Caenorhabditis elegans: one gene and its partners. The protein of the gene in region 3 binds, or shares a complex with, the protein of the main gene of each other region. Each region holds a gene or a part of one and is shown on either strand. Other genes may lie near its edges. The genes, in order: lin-9, lin-54, dpl-1 and lin-35.

Region 1 (5,990 bases), on a different chromosome or scaffold from region 3:
TATAAGAATGATATCAATGTACTTGAAACATTCAAAAATTTCATAAAAGATTAACAGAAATTTTTTAAATTTTAACTATTTTTTCAAATTTTTTAAACAGTTTTAAATGTATTTTTGTCGGTTTTCAGTGAAATTTTTGTTAAAAAATAAGAAAATTAAGAAAAAAAGCTAAAAATGACTTTTAAAAAAATTGAAATTCGTTTTTTGGCGCAAAAAGTTAAAGGGACATGAGATTTCGTAGGGAGCGGGTCTCGCCACGATTCCTCCTATTTTTATTTTTACTTTCAAACGAAACAACGAAGCTCCGAAATAACGCATTCGTGATAAATTTAATAAAGAAATTAGCAGCAAAACAGCAAAAAATGCGAATGGAATTCAAATACGAAGCAAGGCGCGCAACACACTATAAAAATTGATCAAAATTACGCAGCAAAGACAGTTTAAAACTACAGTAATCTTTGAAGGCGCACATCCGTTTGTATTTAACAGACATTTGTCGTGACCAGTTACCGTACTTTTAGCGCTCACTTTTGTGTCCGGGCTAATATCTTCTCACCGCTGGCAAACATAATAAAATGAAAATTCACCTGAAACTTTAAAATTTTATTTATTTTCTAGACAGTCAGTAAAATAAAAAATAGTGGAGTATAACTGACAAGGGTTTCGTTATTTGGCTCGTTTTTCTCGAAAACTGATGATGATGATGATGACAATGAGGAAGAAAATAGAATTTTGGCACATTCGAATTATCAAGGTTGAACTACTTTTAAAAAATAAGAAAAATGGGGATGTGTCTCATGATCGGGTACAATTTTGAAAAGACACAAAGTGATTGAAGAAGGTGGGGAGAGAGAGAGAGCAGAGATGAGAGAACTGAGAATATTCAGAAAAACAAAAACTGACGGGACCGGTTGGCGTTTTTTTGGACAAAATGAGACGCTTTTAGTTATTTTCTGTTCGATACAGTTCCAGCTAGTGCTCCACTTTCGAGCATAATTGTGTGAAATTGTTTCATATGAACTTCAACGTAGTCTTGGAAGAATGCCACGTTGCGGGGGTGAATAGCGGTCCGAATTTCAGATATGGCGTCACCAAGTGATTGAAGATCAACTGCAGAGATCTTTTGAGTTCCCATTGTGCGAACCTGGAAAAATATAATATTTTTTCTAATATTTTTCTGCAGTAAAAAAATTTTTTAATAGTGTTTTACCGATGACCAGGTAATTTTGAATTCTAGGAAACAATTTTAGTTTTTTTTTTGTAAAATAGTAATTTGTAATTAATTCTAATGGGACGATGCAAGTGAACACGTGTATTCAGCTCGACCAACGCCTCGAAAATTTTCAAAAAAGGCGGGAAAAAATATTTGAATTCGCCAAGAGGAATTTCACCGCAGCGCGTGACGGTGTTTGCACAAATTACACCGAATGGTCGAGCTGAAAACACGTGGTGAATTTCTCGTAATTTCTCGACACATTTTTTGCAATGCAAGTGCGCGGAGAAATGACGAGAAATGTCGTGAAATTTGCAATTTCTCCGCATTTCTCGACATATGATGAACGGTGAGATACGCAGAAACATGTGTCCCCGCAGGAAACTCCGCCTACTCACCGCACTTTTAACAGGGTGAAATGTCTTACCACCCTGCGAGGACACATCTCATATGTCGAGAAACGCGTAGAAATTGCGAATTTCACGACATTTCTCGTCATTTCTCCGCACACTTGCATTGCAAAAAATGTGTCGAGAAATGACGAGAAATTCACTTGCATCGTCCCATAATGAAATTAGGAAAGAGGATTTGGTAAAAACCGAAGTTTATTTTCTAATGAATTTTTACATTTTCAATTTTTTTTTTCATTAATAAATTATTATTCTGCAGTCTATAGTGCCACAAACCTGTAAAAGGACAGCTGTCAATGATTGAATAAGTGTCAACGCATGCACATTCTCTACATTTAATCCTTGATTACAGTGCTCTACAAATCTTCCAGCTTGTTGAGAGCACATTTGTCTAACTGCTTCAGGTTTCATATTTGACGTTGAAATCTGCAAACAAATAGATCTTTCGAAGAATCAGGAAATGAAAAATTACATCATTCGAAGAGAAATACATATGGTGATCTTGAATTCCATTCATATTGATATCTATATTCTGATTCACATGTTCCAGATCGATGATAGTTTTGGCGTATTTCTCCTGAAAAAAAATTGTTTTTTAGATTCTATCTAGTTGACTTTTTCATATATCAAAAAAAATTTCTAATTAAAAATGTACCTGAAAAGCTTTCGAATATTTGTCTGACGTCATATTTTGTATCTCGGCATCCGCATTCAATTCGTTCAATTGTCGTATCAATCCCTTTTTGATATCAATTAATTTCGTCAGTTTCACAAGATTCACAAGGAATTTCAGCGGGAAATTTCCAACCATTTCTGCATTTTTTCCATTTAATCGTTCGTCGTTCGGTCCCATTAATGGTCCACCACTTCTCTCGATTTTTCGAGAAACCAGGACGTCACGAACAAGATGTGGATGTGATGAGTCACGAACTGCTGCTACAAATGGACGAACGCCTGATGGAAGCTTAGAGTTGGCTTGTTCAATGAAGTAGGCGATACTCAACAAATCAAGTTTTCCGTCGAGAAGTATTTCCGTGTCACTAACCAGTGTTGGTGGGATATCTGGCTGAAAGAATAAAACATTGGAATTTATAGAATTTCAAATATTCAAATTTCCCTAAAACAAAATAATTTATGATCCAAAACTACCGAATATAGTAATAGGACGTCTTAATTTCCAAAGACTTCCTATTTTCAGCTAAATCATTAAATTTTGTCAATTTCTCCTAACACTTTTTATTGCATATTTTGGTAGTAATTCGATGATTTGAGCACATTTTAAGTCGATAAGAATCCTACTTTGATATTTTTGGTGTCTATCGACTTAAAGTGATCCTAAATCATAGAATTAAAGCGAAATAAACCACTAAAATATGCAATAACTGTTGAAAATGCAATAAGAATTGCATTCCAGCATGTACAAAATGGACAAGTTGGCGAAGTTCACGAATTTAGCTGAAAATAGGTTTGTGGCGAAATTTTAAGACATCTCGTTACAAAATTCGGGCGTTTTGGGTGATATTGAGTCTCCTTTTACAAACCTTGTCAAAAATAATTCTGAATCCTTTCGGAATGACAGCATCAATAATTCCAGAATAAATTCCATCGTAGGGATTTCGAATTCTCGCAAATACACGATTTCCAACCACCATTGGACGTGGAAGCTTGGCTGGAAGATCTTTTAGATCAATCGATGGATCCTGAAAGAACATTTATTGAAAATGATACACCTCTTCAGCCTTACGTTAAGATAACTTCCTTCATAGACACTTCGAATCTTCATTCTTTTCTCTTCCAGGTACATTCTTTCTTCTTCAAAAAACACTTTCGAGCATCTACGTGGCTTTCCGAGAAGTTTTCGAATCGACCGCCACTCAATACGCGTTAAATTCCAATTTTTCAGATTTGGGAAAGATTCGCGGATAATTGTGGCAAACTCGTTTTCTTCTTTGAAAATTTGTTCGTCGATTGCAGAATAGAAGAACTCGCACATGACCCATTGACGAGCTTTCTTATATCGGAGCAAATTGTAGAGTTTCTTTATATTAGCTCTCATAAATGTGCTCACATCTTCACTTGTTTGATTTTTATACGTTTTGAATTGTTTCATCATGGCACTTCGTTCTTGATCTGTACTGAACATGTTGAAGAATGACTGTGTATCTCGATGTTCTACAGCTTCATTTGTCATATTCGCAGGATTATCTAAATCATCAAGACCTGCTACAAGGTTTTGATGCATCTCAATCATCTCCAGATCCTTTGCGAGAAGATCATTACTTGGTGCTGGAGGCGGAGACAGAGCAAGAGCTCTGCGTGGAGGGCGTCGTTCTTCTTTTGGCTGGAACTTGGAGACATGACAACAATACAATTGTTTTAAAACTTACAATATATTCCAAAGCACAACTGGAAGATTCATAATCAAGAGCTGCCTTTGCGAGCATTGTTAGACTTGAGTTTCGGGTCAATGAGTTCACTGAAGGAGAATCTCTACCTCCATTCAGGCGTTTCGCGGGAGATCTGTAAAATCATAAGATTAGTCGGCCACTTTTTCGGAACAGCTTGTTACTTTTTGGGAGATCCGGTACGTTTGATACTGCGAGACGGTGATAGGTATAGTTCTTCATTACGATATCTCGATGGAACTTTAGATGTTTCACGGAGACTGTATGGTGAGCTGGTGCGATCCTGAAAATACCGAATGTCATGCATACTTTCAATATCTTTCTTTAATTTACAACTTCTTTATTTTTAAAAACACGAAAACCCAATAAAATCAATATTTCCAATAACTTACAGGATCAGACGTGTCACTTGCTGCCTTTTTCCGCGGACTTCTCACCGCAGACGACATTTTTATCTGAAAAATAACAAATTTTTGAATAATTTCAGACCACGAGACAAAAATCAATGAAAGAATGCGGACGCGCGCGCGCGAAAAAAACTTTGAAATGGCGGTTCTTTTCCCCAACCAACAGCCGATTTCAAACAGCGTGATGGTCTCGACGCGATTGCCCTGCGGCAGTGTAGCGAGGTACGGTGGAGCGCTGTCTGTTGGAAAACAGAACACAGCTGAGAGAAGTGAATGTGGTGGGAAACGGAAAAAAGGGAGAGCTGCTGTTTGACAGTCGAACGTCGTGACATTCCGTTTTTGGATTTTCTCGTGAAAGTTTTTTTTTTTTTTTTATTTGTTTTATTTCTTATTTGTATTGATTTTCCATCTTTCCTGGGTTATCATTAAATTTTAAACATGGTTTTACACAAGATCATGCGGTGAAACATGTTTTTTTCTTCCTTTCCGCATTTAAAACGAATTATTTTGTTTATATTGTTCTTCTCTTTCCATTCTCATGATTCATTTCTCTCCTTATTGGCAAGAAACATTATAAAATTGTTCATTCCTACTAAGTGTTTACCAAAATTTATTTTGGCCGCAAAGTTTTAAAATTGTAGAATAAACTTTTCATTAAAAATATTTCGTCTTCAATCACTCATCTTTGTTCCGAAAACATCTCACAGGTTTTTTCTTCAAAGCAATATTCTTCTTTAGTGTTTTTAGTCAGCGTTTTTCGTTCTGGATCTGGATTCTATGGTTTGATGTTACTTTGAAACACTATTTATAAAATCTTTTTGCAAAGAAACAATTCTCTTAAATTTAATACAATTTCCGCATCAAAATTGAAGTTTTTGTGCAAAGTTGACCTCTCGCAGCGTAATCTTATCGTTTTTTCGCGTTATCACCACTCAATCTCCCCCACTGCTCTACAATTATTTCATTTCTCTCAACCTTTTGATCGAATCGATTGAATTTCATAATATCCACGAAATGTGAGTCGCCCAATGTTTACGTTTCTCCATCCTATAACACTGCTTACAAATGGTTTCAGTGTTCAAACATTGCGGTGAATGAGGCAGACAATCAGACATTTTCTTTCTTTTAAAACCTGTCCTGTTCATTTCTTCCTCATCTCCTTTAGGTTTTCTTATTCGCCATCTGAAAGTTTATTTCTCTGCGTCTAGCTATTAGATCCTGGAGAATTACGCTCTAATGTCGATGACGTGTCGGCTGATCGATTAGATTGCGCAAATTGTTTCTTTAGTTTTTTCTAGATTTCTCTCCCTTTTTTCATGATATTCCAATGGAGCACGTTTGAGCGCATGCTCTCTTCTTGCTCAGTGCTGCTCCGTATCGATCCCTCTCCGTCAATATCTGGTCTTCGGTCCTGAGGCCTTCGCTCCTAGCCTCGTGCTTTTCTTAAATGTTTTCTCTCGAAAGAAGCGTTTTTGATTTTTTTTTCCTTCTTATTTTTGAAATCTTCATATTATTTCATGGAAATTCTTACAGAATCAACTAGAATGGGTGATTA
Region 2 (4,619 bases), on a different chromosome or scaffold from region 3:
TGGATTTTTTGAGCAGATCCTCGCAGCCCGTTCCGTGCTCTTTCCACATTTCAGTGACTGCTACCATCTCAGCATGCCTTGTCGGATCACCGGTCTCGTTCACACGATTCCGACCTCTTCCAATTTCTGTTCCATTGACCACAAATACACATCCAACTGGAACTTCATCTTCATCTAAAGCTTCTTGAGCCAATTCGAAGGCTTTTTCCAGAAATGCAGTGTCCTCGGCGCTCAGCTCGTTTTCTGACATTTCTAATAAATTTTCTAGGTTTTAAAGGTGTACTAATTCGCATTTTAATTATTTTTTGCACAATAAAAATTAATTTTAATTTTAATCGCAGACCAGCGATGCATATTGTGCGCCGAAACACTCCTGAATAGCTTTGTTTAAAATAGGAGCGTGTTTCGGCGCACAATACGCAATTAAAATTTAATTTAAACTTCTGAATCAAAAAATCAAACATTTCTCGAAATAATTACTTTGCTGGGAACAAATGTGCAACTATGCTGCCAAATAATAAAAAAAAGACACAAAACTTCATAAATATAACACAATAATTTCTAAAATTGAAGAGACGCAGGTGAGTTAGTAAAAATGAAACAAATTTTTCTGATCATTTTTTATTTGACAACTTTGAAAGAAGGCAACTTGTGAATCTGTAAAAGCATTGAGAGGAGGGGAGGAAGGCAAAGAATGTGTGAGAGGTGAGATCATAAAAGATCGCGCAACTGTGATAAAATTGATAATAATTTTAATGCGAATAGTTAAGAAGTACTAGTAGATGGTCCTGGGATGTCATCCGTTGGAGCGGCATCAAGATCTTGTGTGAGCTCAGTTGTGTTTGTGATCATTTGTTCGAGACAGCGGCCGAATTCACGAAGGACAAGCTTCTCCATATTGATGAGTTTTTCGTCTTCGGTTTGCACTTTTTCGTAGTTTAACTGCAAAGAAAAAAAATTAAATTCAATAGGAAACCAATTGATTTTCCAACTAACAGCTTCTTCAGCTTGAGCAACCATGCACATAGTGGCTGCCTCAACGACTTCATCGGTCATATAGTACCACGGGAAGCGTCTAGGATCCATCTCGACCTTCGGTTTATGCGAAAGAAGCATATCCTCGTAGTCGTCTCCATGCTCATCGGTCACCACACTTCCCGGACCAGAATCTGGAGTCGCTGTGCTGGAAGCGTTGGTCAATGACATCAGGGCATTCGTATTGGACACGGCACCACCGGAGTTCTGAAATTAAAATTTGAATAAGAAATTAAATTTATTGCAAGAATTGCGGTATTTTGAACGTATAGAGATCCAAAATATGATTTTTTTAAATTTGAAAAAGGTGAAATTTGAGCTAAAATATTCAATTTTGGCCACTTTTCCGCGTCGAAGCGGTCGGAAATTGACATTTTTAAAATTATCATCTTTTATTGCATATTTTGGTATTTTATCTAACGTTTTTTTAAAAATTTCATCAATTAAAGTACATTTAAGGCCGAGAGGTGACCAAAAATGATCGAAATTGGTTACCGATCAGCTTTAAATGTACCTTAATCAATGAAATAACGTCAGATAAAATACCAAAATATTCAATAAAAGATGATAATTCAAAAAAAGTCAGCTTCCGACCGCTGGGACACGGAAAAGTGATCAAAATTAGCCTTTTTCGGAATTTTGAACTGCCAAACAAAACTTGTTAATTTGAGCACATTTGTTAGCCTATACGTTCGAAAAATCCAGAATCGTTACTCCATTTTTTAAACTGAATTATAGGAAATTGCACCTTGTATCTTGTCATTCTGTATGTTTCAGTATTCTGACATCCTTTGCACTTGCATCGATCGGTACACGGAACCTTTGCTTCATAACACTCACAATAGTTTTTCAGACAACCACTCTTTTTACAGTGACATCCTTTCTGATGAAGACGTTCGATGTCGGTAATACCTCCACGAGCAATACCAATTTTTGGCTTGAAAGCGTTCGGATTTCGCTCAAGTGACTGACGGATGGCTTTTGAACGCTGACTGTCGTATTCTATATTATTGTGACAATCCTTGCAATTGCAGTCACGACAGAACTCTCCATTGGCGAAACAATCACAGTAGAGCTTGAGGCATTGAGATTTCGTGCAATTGCATGGTTTCCGCTGGCCAGGTGCAAATACTTTTCTTGAAAAATAGAGGAATTAGTGAAAAGTTACAAAATTTGAGTTCTTTACTTTTTAGTTTTCAATCTAATATGACTAACGTGATCTTTCATATCGATGTAAACTTTTCGCTGTTCAGAATTTCCCATCTCCAAGCCCATTGGTTGCACTGTTCTAGCTTAAATAAAATAATTATTAGGACAAAAGATCTCTAGTTTACGAACGTAATGAAGCGGGCTGTCGATCGTACATTGAAGGTGAACCCGATAAATTGGACAAATTCCGCACAGTGTACTGAGACGATCCGGGAGTGCTGGGCCCAGGCTGAAAAAGCTTCCAAAGAGGTTAGTCAATTCGTAAAAAATCGAAAATTTTTAAAATTACTTTTCGCTGAACTGGTCTCGGAGGGGGGACGTAGACGCGATGCGATGATGTATCAATTGGTTCGTCTTTGACCAATCCCTGATTAACTTCCATTGATCGATTATGCTGTTGAATCATACTCGAGGTTCCCGGACGATTTTGCTGCGCCTGTAAGTTCTGAGAAAAGTTTATTTTTATTTCGAATTGAAAACAAATTACTGGATTATGAGGCACAAGCTGTCCATTAACTTCGATAAATTCGGCACCTTCTTCATAATTATCGTATATCTCCGATTCGTCGTAATAATCATCGTCGTCTTGATAAACGATTTCTCCTTGATTCATTGTCAACACTGAAAATACTGAAAAATAACTAATCAGGAAAACAATGTTTTAGCATTTGGAAAGAGATTAAACGAAAAGAAATTAAGTTATCTTGCCAGAAAATTCCCAACAAAAAAAAAAGAACATCGTTTTGAGGATGAAATACAACTTATTTACGTTCCTTTTTGAACCAAAATTTCATTTTTCGCCGTCTAAATACTTTCAAAAATGTTAAATTAGTAACTTATTTCTTGAAAATCAATAATTCAATAAGATTTAATATTAATAAATTTAAAAAACACCCAAAAAAAGGATTAAAAAATTGTTTCGCGCGCCGAAATTTGATTAAACAAAAATAATGCAAGTGCGCTCCACAGTTAATGTTGTTTGAAAATTGACATCGACAATTCGCTGCGTAGCGACGCAACAACCATTGTGATACGGAGTCAATTCGCCGGCGCCAAGTCCTCGCGACGAATTTTTTCTCACTTTTGTCACCGCCGGTATCCCTGGTAGACGTCACTCATCATGCCACCAAAGTTCGACCCAACTGAGATTAAGATCGGTAAGTTGCTCATTTTTGTGCACATTTAATTAGGTATTTGACGTATTATGCGTGATTTTCAATTTGTCAAAGATTTCATCATCGTGATTTTTGAAAAACTCTTTTGCATCATTTTCACTTTTCAGTGTACCTCCGTTGCGTCGGAGGAGAAGTCGGAGCCACCTCCGCTCTTGCCCCAAAGGTCGGACCACTTGGATTGTCTCCAAAGAAGATCGGAGAAGACATCGCCAAGGCCACCCAAGACTGGAAGGGTCTTAAGGTCACCTGCAAATTGACCATCCAGAACCGTGTTGCCAAGATCGACGTTGTCCCATCTGCTGCTTCCCTCATCGTCAAGGAGCTCAAGGAGCCACCACGTGACCGCAAGAAGGTCAAGAACGGTACGCATTTAATGCGTTGGGTCGGGAGTCGATATGCTCTCATCCCCTGGTCTCTTACTTCATAAGTTTGTAAAAGTTTGTGACTTAAAGACTAGTAACCTAAGTGATTTTCATGCTCCGTGAGTTTGATTTTTCCTGGGTTTGGTGTTGTCTCGTCCCAACGGGTTGTTTAATCAATCTAGTTTAACGTTTTGCACGTTTCCATTTCAGTGAAGCACAATGGAGACCTCACTGTTGACACCATCATCAAGATCGCCAGAATCATGAGACCAAGATCGATGGCCAAGAAACTTGAAGGAACCGTCAAGGAGATCCTTGGTAATATTTCGAAAACGATAAACTGTTTCTAAATATTGTATTTTTTCAGGAACAGCCCAATCCGTTGGATGCACAATTGATGGACAACACCCACACGACATCATCGAGTCGATCGCCAATGGAGAGATCGAGATCCCAGCTCAATGATCTGTCACTTGTTTTTGTTGTTCCAATAAATTCTTGTTACTATCTGCGTGTATTTTGATAAATATCTCAATAAATCATGCAAGACGTCTAATTTAGAATTTGTATCGAAAGACACTGGTGTTGGGATTCATTTGTTATCTATTTCTGGTAAAAGAACTCGTGCTTCGTCGCTTTTCGAAATCGATTTTTGCGTGGAGAGAAACTGCGCTCTGATGAATTTTTTCTTCAGTTTATTTTATTTTAAAATATTTTCGCTTCATTCAGAAATGGCCTCGTGTGAATCAATGTGCCCAGTCGCTGAAATAAATTTTCGAAGCCGGAATCATCTGATAGATCAATTAGAAGCTACTGCATCGACTAGTTCAGGACCCCG
Region 3 (5,154 bases):
ACAGACAGATCAAATAAATTACAACGAAATCATACAGAAAATAGTCATCGAACCGTTTTAATGAGAATTTTACATTTTACAACACATTATTCTCCCAGTAATTCCAACACCCAAACTTCGCTCATTCCAATCATTTTCATGGGTGGTCCTTGATACAATGATCCTGCCATTACCATCAATTGACCTCCAAATGGAATCTCATAGAGTCCATAAAAGTATGGTAGAAGCCAATAAACTACTGGAATAACTACGTAGAATTGTCCTGCATGAGTGTGTCCAGATAAGACAATATCAATTTCTGATAATTCTTTCGGATGATCTACGATGAATTCTCGAATTGATGCCGGATTGTGTGCCATGACGATTTGAGAAGTATTTGATGGACATCGATGGATGGCTTTTGGTAGATCCATTTTAGTGTTCAAGATTCCAGATTTCGGACTTGAAATATCGTTTACTCCAGCCAAACAGACTCCTTTCAGCATTGTACTTCTGAAAAATATCACTGTTACTTCCAAGAAAAACTCAAAAACTTTGTAAAACTTACTCGTTTTCAAGAACATTAATACGGCCATTTTTGTAGAATCTTATCCATTCCTGAACGTCTCCATAATAATATTCATGATTGCCAGTTACGAAATAAGTAGGTGCGTGAGCAGGGAGTTGACTGAAAACAAAAATTGAAATTTTGTGAATCAAACTAATTCGCCTACAGAATTGGTCGAACTCTATCCTCGATTTCCGCAACAGGAGCATCTACCATATCTCCAACAATCAGAATAGCATCAACTGGATTTTCAAGCACTTTTTCGACAACTTGATTGATTTGTTCCGAATAAACACTTGCACCAGCGTGCAAATCAGAGATCACTGCCAATTTTAATCGATTTCCATCAGCAGTGAAGTTTTTTATTTTGATGGTCTTTTCTTTGACAACAATCCAATCGCGTGATATAAACATACTGACTGACAGAAGCAAGGTGATTATCATTGTGAATCTGAAAATAACATTTTTAATGATAAGTTCCGAAATGAGATGTTTTTTGTTACTTTATTTGAGATCTTCTTTTCCACATGAGATCGTTAAAATAAGGAACCTTTCCTATTATTTCCAAAATCGAAGCGGTGTAATGGAACATCTGAGAAAATTTTTTTAAAATAATTTAAATATTATTGAAATTAATATTACCTTCATTTTTCCAGCATAGAAATTAACAATCCCAAATCCACATACGAATGCAATCATGTTAGTCCATATTCCCGCGCAGATTGAGGTGAGATCGAAGAGAAGCCACTGAAATGCAAGAGACTCTTTTAACAGCAACACAATTTCTAAAAACAAACCTGGAGAAATGCTGGGGCATAATACATAAAATAAATCGCTTGTCCGAGAACTAGGAAAATAATAAGGCCATCCGAGCATCGTTTCCGGATTGTCTGAAATGAGAATAGGTCAGTTTTTGGTGAGAAGAAGATTTAATCGATTTGAAGAGAAAAATAGTTATGGTCTTTGAAATCGTAGCAGGAAAACAAAATAAATTTTTATTTAAAAGCAAATTCTTGTTTTGCTAACTTTTTCCAACAAGAATATTGCAATTTGTTGAAATTTCAGTGTCGAACGAAAAAAAAAGAAAATTTTGTTCAGCAACAACACTCCGCCTTGACACCTCTCGCGTTGTTTATCGTCATTGATGGGTCTCGCAACGCACGGCGCGTCTTCAAATTTGGGTTTTTTCTGTTTTCCTCCATCTTCCGAATATTATTGATTTCTCTCACGTATTGATCAAAAATTGTTCTGGTTAACGTTTGTATTGCAGCGTTCTTAAAAACCGATAAAATTTAGATTTAGAACAGAAAAGAATCAGTTTTTTACGATGGCAACAAAATATCATTCATTATTCTTATAATTAACACTTTTCGTAGCTTTTCTCGTAATCAAAGTCATCATTTACAGATCTAAGCAATCGAAAATCTTGATTCGTCCAGGCAGGTCCTGTAGAAATGAACCCGGTTTGTAAAATAAGAAATCGATATTATATTAAACTAACATTTGCAGACAAACTACGATCCCCGTATCGGCCAACCGGCACAAAGTCGACCACAAGTATCCCTGAGTATGGGAAGACGAATTGTTCAAATGCCTACAGGTCTTCCTCGTTCATACCAAGATGAGAGTCACAATGAACCTGTGGGCTGGGATGAACCTTCGGGAGTTGGAGGATCTAGTGGAGCAGGAGGTCAACAATCTGACAAACCAACCGGACTCAGACATTTTTCCACGAAAGTTTGTGAAAAGGTGAAAGAAAAAGGATTGACGAATTACAATGAAGTGGCTGATGAACTGGTAGCAGATTACTTTCAAAATAATCTTATCAAGCAGATTGATGTTGTGGTAAGAAGTTTGTTTTTCTTCTTTTGAAAAAAAACTTTTTTTTTCTAGAAACAAGAATACGATATGAAAAATATTCGGAGGAGAGTATACGATGCGTTGAACGTTCTTTTGGCAATGAATATCATCACAAAAAGCAAGAAAGATATCAGATGGATTGGACTTCCTGCTTCAGCTTCACAAGAAATTTCGAGATTGGAAGAAGAGAAATCGCGACGGGAAGCCAGCATAAGTTCCAAAAAGCAGGCTCTCGAAGAAATGGTATTGCAAATTGTTTCTTACAAAAATTTGGTCGAACGGAATAGAAAAAATGAGCAGTACGTTTGAGTGTTAAATATTTTAGAAAAGTTAAATTTTCAGCAAAAATGGTCGCCCAGAAAACGACACTGTACTTCATCTTCCGTTTTTAATAATTAATACTGATAAAGAGTAAGTTGAAATTCCAAAATTATAATAGTCTCAAATATCTATTTTTAAGAGCAAATGTGGAATGCAGTGTATCATCAGACAAATCCGAATTTCTGTTCTCGTTCGACAAGAAGTTTGAAATTCACGATGATTTCGAAATTTTAAAAAGTAAATTTAAATGCCAAAAACCGATAAGATCCACATTTTTCAGAGTTGAACCTTGCATGCAGTTTGGAGACTACAAATCCCACAGCGGAAGAAGTCAAAACTGCGAAAAGCTTTTTGCCAACCTTACACCAGCACTATGTCGACGAAATCATTGCCAGTAAGTATTTCTTTTTAAAAATCAATCATGGAAACCACAATTTTCAGACCGTAAAAAGGTTGAAGCAGAAAAAGAGGAAAAGAGAAAACAACAACAGTTGATTGCTGATCAAATGTCTATGAACCTCTCACAAGCCCAATACGTTGAGCCGACAAGCTCTTTGGCGCAAATGTCATATTCATCGCGATTCAACAGACAGCTTCAGGAGCATTTGATAAACGATGGAAGTGAGGACAGAAGTGGTAAAAAAGTTTTTTAAAAACATTAAAAAAATTGTTTTTTCTAGCTGCTGCCGGTATAATGGAACGCGATTATGATATGGATAAGAATGTTAATCAGGGATCAGCCAGCCGAGGGCCAATGTATAATACTTATAGTCCACAAAAGATTCGAGCTCAAGTTAACACGCCTCTTCAAGTACCACCCGTTACCAAACGATATTACGTACAGAAGACACAAGGACCAATGAAGGTTTGTTCAAAATGAAGATTTTTCAGTACAACTAAAACATTTTCAGCATGATATGACTCCCGTCGTTCGAACTGTCAATCGGCCGTACTCTACTGTACCTCCAGATCGCAGGCTCTCAACTGGAGCTACTTCTGTGAATTCAGGACCTGTAAAATACTACGTGCCACAAGGACATCAACCGATGCATCAGCCAGTTGGTCAGAGATATGTAAGTTCGTTTTAAAGATTTCACAAACTGATTTTTCTTATTTTTCAGAGAGTTCGTCCACAGCAACCACAAATGAGTCATATGGGTCAGCCACATCAAGTGCAACAGAGAGTTGTCTATCCTGCTGGAAGCATTTCTGGACATCAGTTACAACCTGGACAACGAATCGTAACTCAGCGAATTGTTGCTCCAGGTGGTCCACACCCGCCGGGCACAATTGTTCGGAAAGTGATTCGTAAAATTGTTGTCAACAATCCAAAGCAATCTCCAGCTCAACAAGTTATACAAAAGAAAATGATGGAGCAAGGTAATTTAAATTTGCCTTAAATAATTTAAATAATTTAATTTCAGATATGTGCACATTTGAACGCAAAACGGAACAGCCGATGACTTCTGCGCAGGCCGCTGCTCTCATTCAACACCCTCAACCGGAGGAATACGATTATTTCCAGTAAATGTTTAATGTAACTAGTTGTTATCCCCCTTTTCCCAGTTTTTAAAGGTTCTCAAACGATTCTCATCTGCTTTTAAAATAGTTTCTATACGAGTTTCAATTTTATTTCTAGACTCCTTTAAAATCCCCTCTTCTTTAATCTTTAAAATAGTATAGTCTTCTTCGTCGATTCTATTCCGACATTTGCCAGATTAGAATTGACGACAGATTTCATAATCTACCTTTTACATTATTATTTTGTGTTCAATTTGACATTTTGAAATATGCTTCTTATATGCCCCGACTTTGACAGCATTATATGTAACTCAATGCTCCCGATTTTACCATCATTTTTTATGAAAGAATGATAGATTATAATTTTTAGTTTTACCTGCATTTTTCGGCGATCCAACGATTTCTCCTTGACAATGTCATCGTCGAACCATCTCATCAGCTGGCCGTATGCAAACACATTTAACAGAGTTAAAATGCACTTTAATTGGATTAAATTAATTAGATTTTTTAATTAGAAGAAGCAACTCACTTCAATGCGGAACACGGCAATGACTCGACGGCGGTTACCAACTAAATATCCTTCCACTGATTCAATCTGGAATATGATATCTTATAGAAAAAACTGGGCTTATGTAAATCAACTCACCCAAAATCTTGAGCAATACGTGAGCAGAATCCAGGAGATAACCGAGCCAAAAACGAGAAATCGCTCGAAACTCATCTGAAATTGAAACTGCGAAGACATACTCACTCGAGATCTTTTTTCTGATCGCTTTTCCTGTTTAGCATAGAATTGTCAATGTTCTCTCTCAGTTTATCGCCCAAACTCATCTCCTTACATCCGATTTCTATCGGGAGAAGGAGAAAATTTAGAGAATGACCATTTCAAAAGTACGTGGAAGCGA
Region 4 (4,747 bases), on a different chromosome or scaffold from region 3:
GAGACCTACACAACTGGAAACACTCAATGATTTACAATATTAAAGGAAATTTATCCAGATGGCAATGAATTGACCCAAGGATGTCAGTTTTTAAATTAATGAAAAAAATTTCAATTTTTTCAATTTTAAAGTAATTTCCAATAATTTTTAAAGAACGAATTGAATCCATTATATTTTTCCAATTAAAACAAATTCGATAAGTCACCAATTTTTTTTCGGTATTTCTATAGAAATACAATTGTATAAATATCATAAAAACCAAAAAAAAATTTCGAAATTTTTAACTTTAAATCGCGAGAAAAATAAAATCCAATTTTTTTTTGTTTTTGGTACGAAATTTGAACAAGAAATTTTTTGTTTTTTTTTGTCAAAAATATTTTTTGGCATCCTTGATTCTCAACTTATCCATATTTAATTGTGACAAATCAAGTAACGACGAAACTAAGCTGCCAAAATTGTTCTAGTTTCTTCCAACGTTCTTATCATTCTTTATTTCTCCACATACTCTCAGCTGATTCTAGTGCTCTTCTCTATTTTCAACGTCCCTCTCTCTATCTCCCAATGCCCTCATTTCTACAGTTTCATGCAATATTTACTCAACCGACACATGAAGAATTGAAAGGGGGAGAAAAAGAGAATCATATTGTCGTGACATCGACCATATCAGTCGTATGTCACCTCCCCGACTCTGCTTCTCCTTTTCTTTTCTCTCGTAGAGGTCTCTTGTTGGCACACTCAGACACACACAAATGCATTTATAAACCATATAAGCCAAGAAAATTGTATTGATTCCAGAAGAACCATGACAACCGAGTCTTCTCAAACGACGGATCCGTATCAGCACCCGCAACAACGGGCTGAACCACATCAGCCAACACAGCGGATAGCTGCTGAACCGGAGCCAAGGGTATTTTGTGGACTTCCAATTGGTGTAAGTTCAGAAATTTTGAATCTCAGCAAGGATTGAACATTTTTCAGGGAGCTGTTGGAATTCTCGGATCCATTCTCATGATATGTCAAATATTCGGACTTTTGTATCCATCTCCATTTGTGCTCTACGTTTTCGAGATTTCTATTGGAAGCGCCATGATGTTTGTTCTATCAACTGGTGCAAAGCGTAGAAAAATTGCCTATATCACTGCTTACATGTTATATCTAGTACGTTTTAAATATAACTCACAAGATTCGATGTTCCTAGTCAATTATGGAAGCATCAATATTCTCGTTAATATACACTTTGAGAAATAATTATCAATTTCAGTCAATGTACACATTTTGGGTGTTTTTCTTGATCCTGGGAGCAGTTATTGCATGTATTTATTTATCGGATAACAATGATAACATTTGCAATCCAGGTTAGTTTCAATACAATTTTCCGGAATAAAGAAACTGATTTGAAGATAACCAAAAGGATGTAACCACTGCGAAGGGATGTGTTCCAAAAATGACAACTGGAGAATTAGAAATGGTTATAATCTCATGTTTCTTCCTAACTGTTAGTATTATTGTTGCACTCGTCCAAATGCGATATATGATGATTCTCTACAACTTCCTCAGAAGAAATGCATACAGATTGTGAGTCCATTATTTCAATTATGAATATTCATTCAATGGTTCAGACCTCAACATCAGGCGTCAAATTACAATGTTCAATACATTGTACCAACACCAATGAGTCCCAGTGGTATGCCACCACCACCAAGATATACCGCCTACGCCCCACCAATGTCAAGTCAAACTGCTCCTCCGATTCCTACAAAACAACAACCTGTTGATAGCGAGAGTTCGACGACGTCGGCATCAACGAGGAGTGGTTCTTTCGTATCGACACCGATTTTGACAGTTGCCAATGTGAGTTTTGAAAATTTTTTGAAGCTTTATGAAATCCGTTTCAACGACTATTCATTAATCAATAATATAAAACTAAGCTATTCTTTCTATATTATAAGCTGCATTAGATAAATACGTCTTAATGCGATTATAATTAACTTCAAATAACCCGCTAAATTTTGTTACGGAGCGCTTGTAGTCGAAAAAGTAATACTAATATCAGAAAAATGGTTATTATTGGGAAACCTCCGATTTCCAGCAAATTCGAGCCAGAATGAGCTCTAAAATTCTTTCCCTATGACATCACTAAAACTCTGTAACAATTTCAGAGTGAACCAACAGGAGCTGACAATTCGGCGTTTACAAATGATGAAGATCCAACCCGACCACGTGCAACTTCTCGGCCGCCTGCATATAGTGACGTGGTTGAACCAGGACATATAACAGTCCGAAGTGACGTTCTTCAATAGATTTCACTCTGTCTTCTATGTATATTTTGACATTTGCTCGTGGTTGTGTGCAATAATAAAAATGTTGCTTGATTGGTAGCTATTGTTGTTAGTGACCTCTTAACTAGTCAGGTGACTGAGCGCTTGATAACTTCATAATTTCCTATATAAGTAGGAGATGATAGCGAGTTGTGATAAAGGTGATAATGAACTGGGGAATATCTATCTTCATAGAGAAAATTATTGGAAAAACGAAGGATGCTCTTAATATGTAAAACAAAGCAGTCATTTAGATTATCACATGAGGCTGCAAACCCTTGTTTTTGTTTAATATTTTTGAAAAGGAGAAAATAATCAGATTTAATATTTATAAAACCCCATACCTTGCTTTATATCTAAGTCGATTCGTTTTGCTGGTGGCTCTTCACATATTGTATCCGTTGTCTCCGTGCCGGCTAACACGGCATCGAATGGGCTTTCTGAAAATAAATCAATTAATATCTAAATTTATTTGCGGTAATTTGAGGCTGAGTTCTAAAAAATTTCTCTCCCTGATGGAAAGGCAAGTAAAATCTTGAACGCTGTTTAAAAAATTTCGAAAAAATCGAACCCTGCGCAAATTGCATTAATCAGTTTTTCTATTCACTGCGGCGGAGAAACTAGCTTTGATAACGCCTCACTTTCCAGACAAGTATAATTATACGCTTTGAATAAAATCATTTAAAGCTTACGCTCGTGAAATGGGTCAGTTGTTGATGTTCCAGGCTCATCGGCTGCTCGTTTCGGCATATTGAAGAAGTTTTTACCAGTCTGAAGAATATTTTTGTGTTTTTTATTCGATTAAACCCAAGAAAGTTCAGATAAAATGTAATCGAAATCGTTTAAAATTAGAGAAAGCAAAATAATTTTCAAGAACGCGCTCATTTTTTTCTAGTCGCGCGCGCAATGATGTTCCACAATTCGCAATAGAGCGCATTTGTGCACGTCCTGGAGACACCATCGATTTTGAGAAACTGAATAGGAAGAAGAGGATACTTCAGAACTTTCTAAAACTGAAGCATTAAATGTGATTAAAAATTGTGAATGTGAGAGAAATCGAGTTTGCAATTCAGAAAATGTATGTTCCAGTTGAACACATCTTACCTTCTACTTATTTTTTCGGCAACCAGCATTTCCCCCAAATTTCGTTCCCTTTGTATTGATGGTGTCTCAAATCTGTTTTTTTTCATTCTCGAGTTTTCCTGAATTTTCTTTAATTTTTCAGTATTGAATGTAAAATGTCTAGTGTTTTGGACGTCACAAAGCCGGATTTTGATGTCGAAGCATTTGTCGTCAAGTTAGTTTTCAGAGATATGCACTGATAAATATTATTAATTCAGATTACTCCGTGAAAAGTCGCTTGATGGATTAGTAAAAGAAGAGGAGGAGATGGTTTCAGCTGTGAGAAGGCTTGATTCAGATGTACATCAAATAGTCTACGAAAATTACAATAAATTTCTGACTGCGACAAATACGGTTCGAAAAATACAAGATGAATTCACGCAACTCGATTCTGTTAGTTTTCGAATAATAATAAAATCAGACAATTTTAATGTTAATTTTCAGGAAATGAAATCTCTCAGCCGAAGTATGTCGACAATATCGACTCTAATTGGGAATCTTGACGGAGTTTTGGGCGAAAAACGTGACGATATTCTACAATTGGGAAGCTCGTATAAAGTTGTGAATAGTTTGAAGCATATTTTCGATCTTCCTCATGTTCTGCGGGTAACATTTTTAATTTTAAAACTTTTTTTTCATATTGCATCAAACTAAACAACTTCCAGAGTGAATTCGATGAGCGAAACTATGGAGAAGTTCTTCGAATGTTCAAATTAGCAGAAGAGTCACTATCGCAGTATAAAGACGTTCCAACAGTTCAATTAGTTCTTCAAAAAAGTAAGAAAATTTATGATATGACGGAAAATCAATTAATGGATCAACTGCGAAATCCGGCTTCTGGTGCAGAATTAGTATCAGAAGCTGTAGATTTATTATTAACAATTGGAAGAGATGAAGATGAAGTTCAGAAAGTGTTGCTCACGTGTTCAGAACAATCTTTAAGAGTAGATTTGAAAGAATTATCAGCAAATCATTCGGATGTTTTGGATCTCGTTGATAAAGCTTCTGAGAGTTTTATTCCAAATCTCACTCTGATTGCAACAACTCATGATCGATTATTTGAGGATAAACGAGAAGATCTTATTACGGTTTTGAAGGTTTGTTAATTTAAAAACGATTTGGATTAAATTAAAGTTTTTTTACAGACGGAAATGAATTCTCTGCATGCTTTGGTTTCAAAAGTTTTTCTATCATCAAGTGATGCAAAAGACTGTTCAATTGTCGTCCGGGCTCTTGATAGATATTTTCGAAAAATCTCAACCTGCCGCTATGTGATTCCTGGACTTGACTTTCTTCCATTAACTATC

The links.
Region 1: dpl-1 (region 3) and lin-9 share a complex: the UniProt entries of both Caenorhabditis elegans proteins name them as parts of the DRM complex.
Region 2: dpl-1 (region 3) and lin-54 share a complex: the UniProt entries of both Caenorhabditis elegans proteins name them as parts of the DRM complex.
Region 4: dpl-1 (region 3) and lin-35 share a complex: the UniProt entries of both Caenorhabditis elegans proteins name them as parts of the DRM complex.

The regions. Positions count from the first base shown.
Region 1 is NC_003281.10:8,899,649-8,905,638, forward strand, and holds lin-9 (Protein lin-9), read right to left. Parts: upstream 4,484-5,990; 5' UTR 4,478-4,483; coding exon 4,421-4,477; intron 4,312-4,420; coding exon 4,193-4,311; intron 4,144-4,192; coding exon 4,011-4,143; intron 3,971-4,010; coding exon 3,368-3,970; intron 3,324-3,367; coding exon 3,165-3,323; intron 2,690-3,164; coding exon 2,279-2,689; intron 2,201-2,278; coding exon 2,096-2,200; intron 2,050-2,095; coding exon 1,900-2,049; intron 1,145-1,899; coding exon 947-1,144; 3' UTR 590-946; downstream 1-589. Other genes in the region: unc-32 (V-type proton ATPase 116 kDa subunit a 1), read left to right, coding at 5,980-5,990. UniProt on the Caenorhabditis elegans protein: Synthetic multivulva class B (synMuvB) protein. SynMuvB proteins are required to repress the induction of vulval development by Ras signaling and probably act by forming the multiprotein DRM complex that represses transcription.
Region 2 is NC_003282.8:13,239,306-13,243,924, reverse strand, and holds lin-54 (Protein lin-54), read right to left. Parts: upstream 2,875-4,619; 5' UTR 2,858-2,874; coding exon 2,732-2,857; intron 2,690-2,731; coding exon 2,534-2,689; intron 2,483-2,533; coding exon 2,374-2,482; intron 2,328-2,373; coding exon 2,222-2,327; intron 2,172-2,221; coding exon 1,784-2,171; intron 1,243-1,783; coding exon 997-1,242; intron 943-996; coding exon 766-942; 3' UTR 524-765; downstream 1-523. Other genes in the region: JC8.4 (CMP/dCMP-type deaminase domain-containing protein), read right to left, coding at 1-250; rpl-12 (Large ribosomal subunit protein uL11), read left to right, coding at 3,365-3,401, 3,527-3,781, 3,992-4,099, 4,149-4,246; tag-115 (SAC3/GANP/THP3 conserved domain-containing protein), read left to right, coding at 4,513-4,619. UniProt on the Caenorhabditis elegans protein: Synthetic multivulva class B (synMuvB) protein. SynMuvB proteins are required to repress the induction of vulval development by Ras signaling and probably act by forming the multiprotein DRM complex that repress transcription.
Region 3 is NC_003280.10:9,167,956-9,173,109, forward strand, and holds dpl-1 (Transcription factor dpl-1), read left to right. Parts: upstream 1-1,954; 5' UTR 1,955-2,001; coding exon 2,002-2,010; intron 2,011-2,056; coding exon 2,057-2,392; intron 2,393-2,440; coding exon 2,441-2,706; intron 2,707-2,749; coding exon 2,750-2,818; intron 2,819-2,867; coding exon 2,868-2,965; intron 2,966-3,008; coding exon 3,009-3,122; intron 3,123-3,169; coding exon 3,170-3,364; intron 3,365-3,408; coding exon 3,409-3,593; intron 3,594-3,639; coding exon 3,640-3,801; intron 3,802-3,849; coding exon 3,850-4,108; intron 4,109-4,152; coding exon 4,153-4,256; 3' UTR 4,257-4,610; downstream 4,611-5,154. Other genes in the region: T23G7.2 (Calcineurin-like phosphoesterase domain-containing protein), read right to left, coding at 87-492, 548-667, 714-998, 1,051-1,139, 1,190-1,294, 1,345-1,437, 4,626-4,727, 4,779-4,844 and 1 more. UniProt on the Caenorhabditis elegans protein: Synthetic multivulva class B (synMuvB) protein. SynMuvB proteins are required to repress the induction of vulval development by Ras signaling and probably act by forming the multiprotein DRM complex that represses transcription.
Region 4 is NC_003279.8:5,806,051-5,810,797, reverse strand, and holds the start of lin-35 (Retinoblastoma-like protein homolog lin-35), read right to left. Parts: upstream 3,090-4,747; 5' UTR 3,069-3,089; coding exon 3,011-3,068; intron 2,759-3,010; coding exon 2,663-2,758; intron 2,378-2,662; exon of another isoform or gene 2,301-2,377; coding exon of another isoform or gene 2,160-2,300; intron 1,852-2,159; coding exon of another isoform or gene 1,620-1,851; intron 1,576-1,619; coding exon of another isoform or gene 1,401-1,575; intron 1,356-1,400; coding exon of another isoform or gene 1,262-1,355; intron 1,159-1,261; coding exon of another isoform or gene 979-1,158; intron 932-978; coding exon of another isoform or gene 803-931; exon of another isoform or gene 796-802; intron 1-795. Other genes in the region: C32F10.4 (uncharacterized protein), read left to right, coding at 803-931, 979-1,158, 1,262-1,355, 1,401-1,575, 1,620-1,851, 2,160-2,300; vps-51 (Vacuolar protein sorting-associated protein 51 homolog), read left to right, coding at 3,557-3,615, 3,659-3,833, 3,885-4,046, 4,106-4,537, 4,586-4,747. UniProt on the Caenorhabditis elegans protein: Key regulator of cell division which acts as a transcriptional repressor and negatively regulates cell cycle progression in its active unphosphorylated form, but allows cell cycle progression when phosphorylated.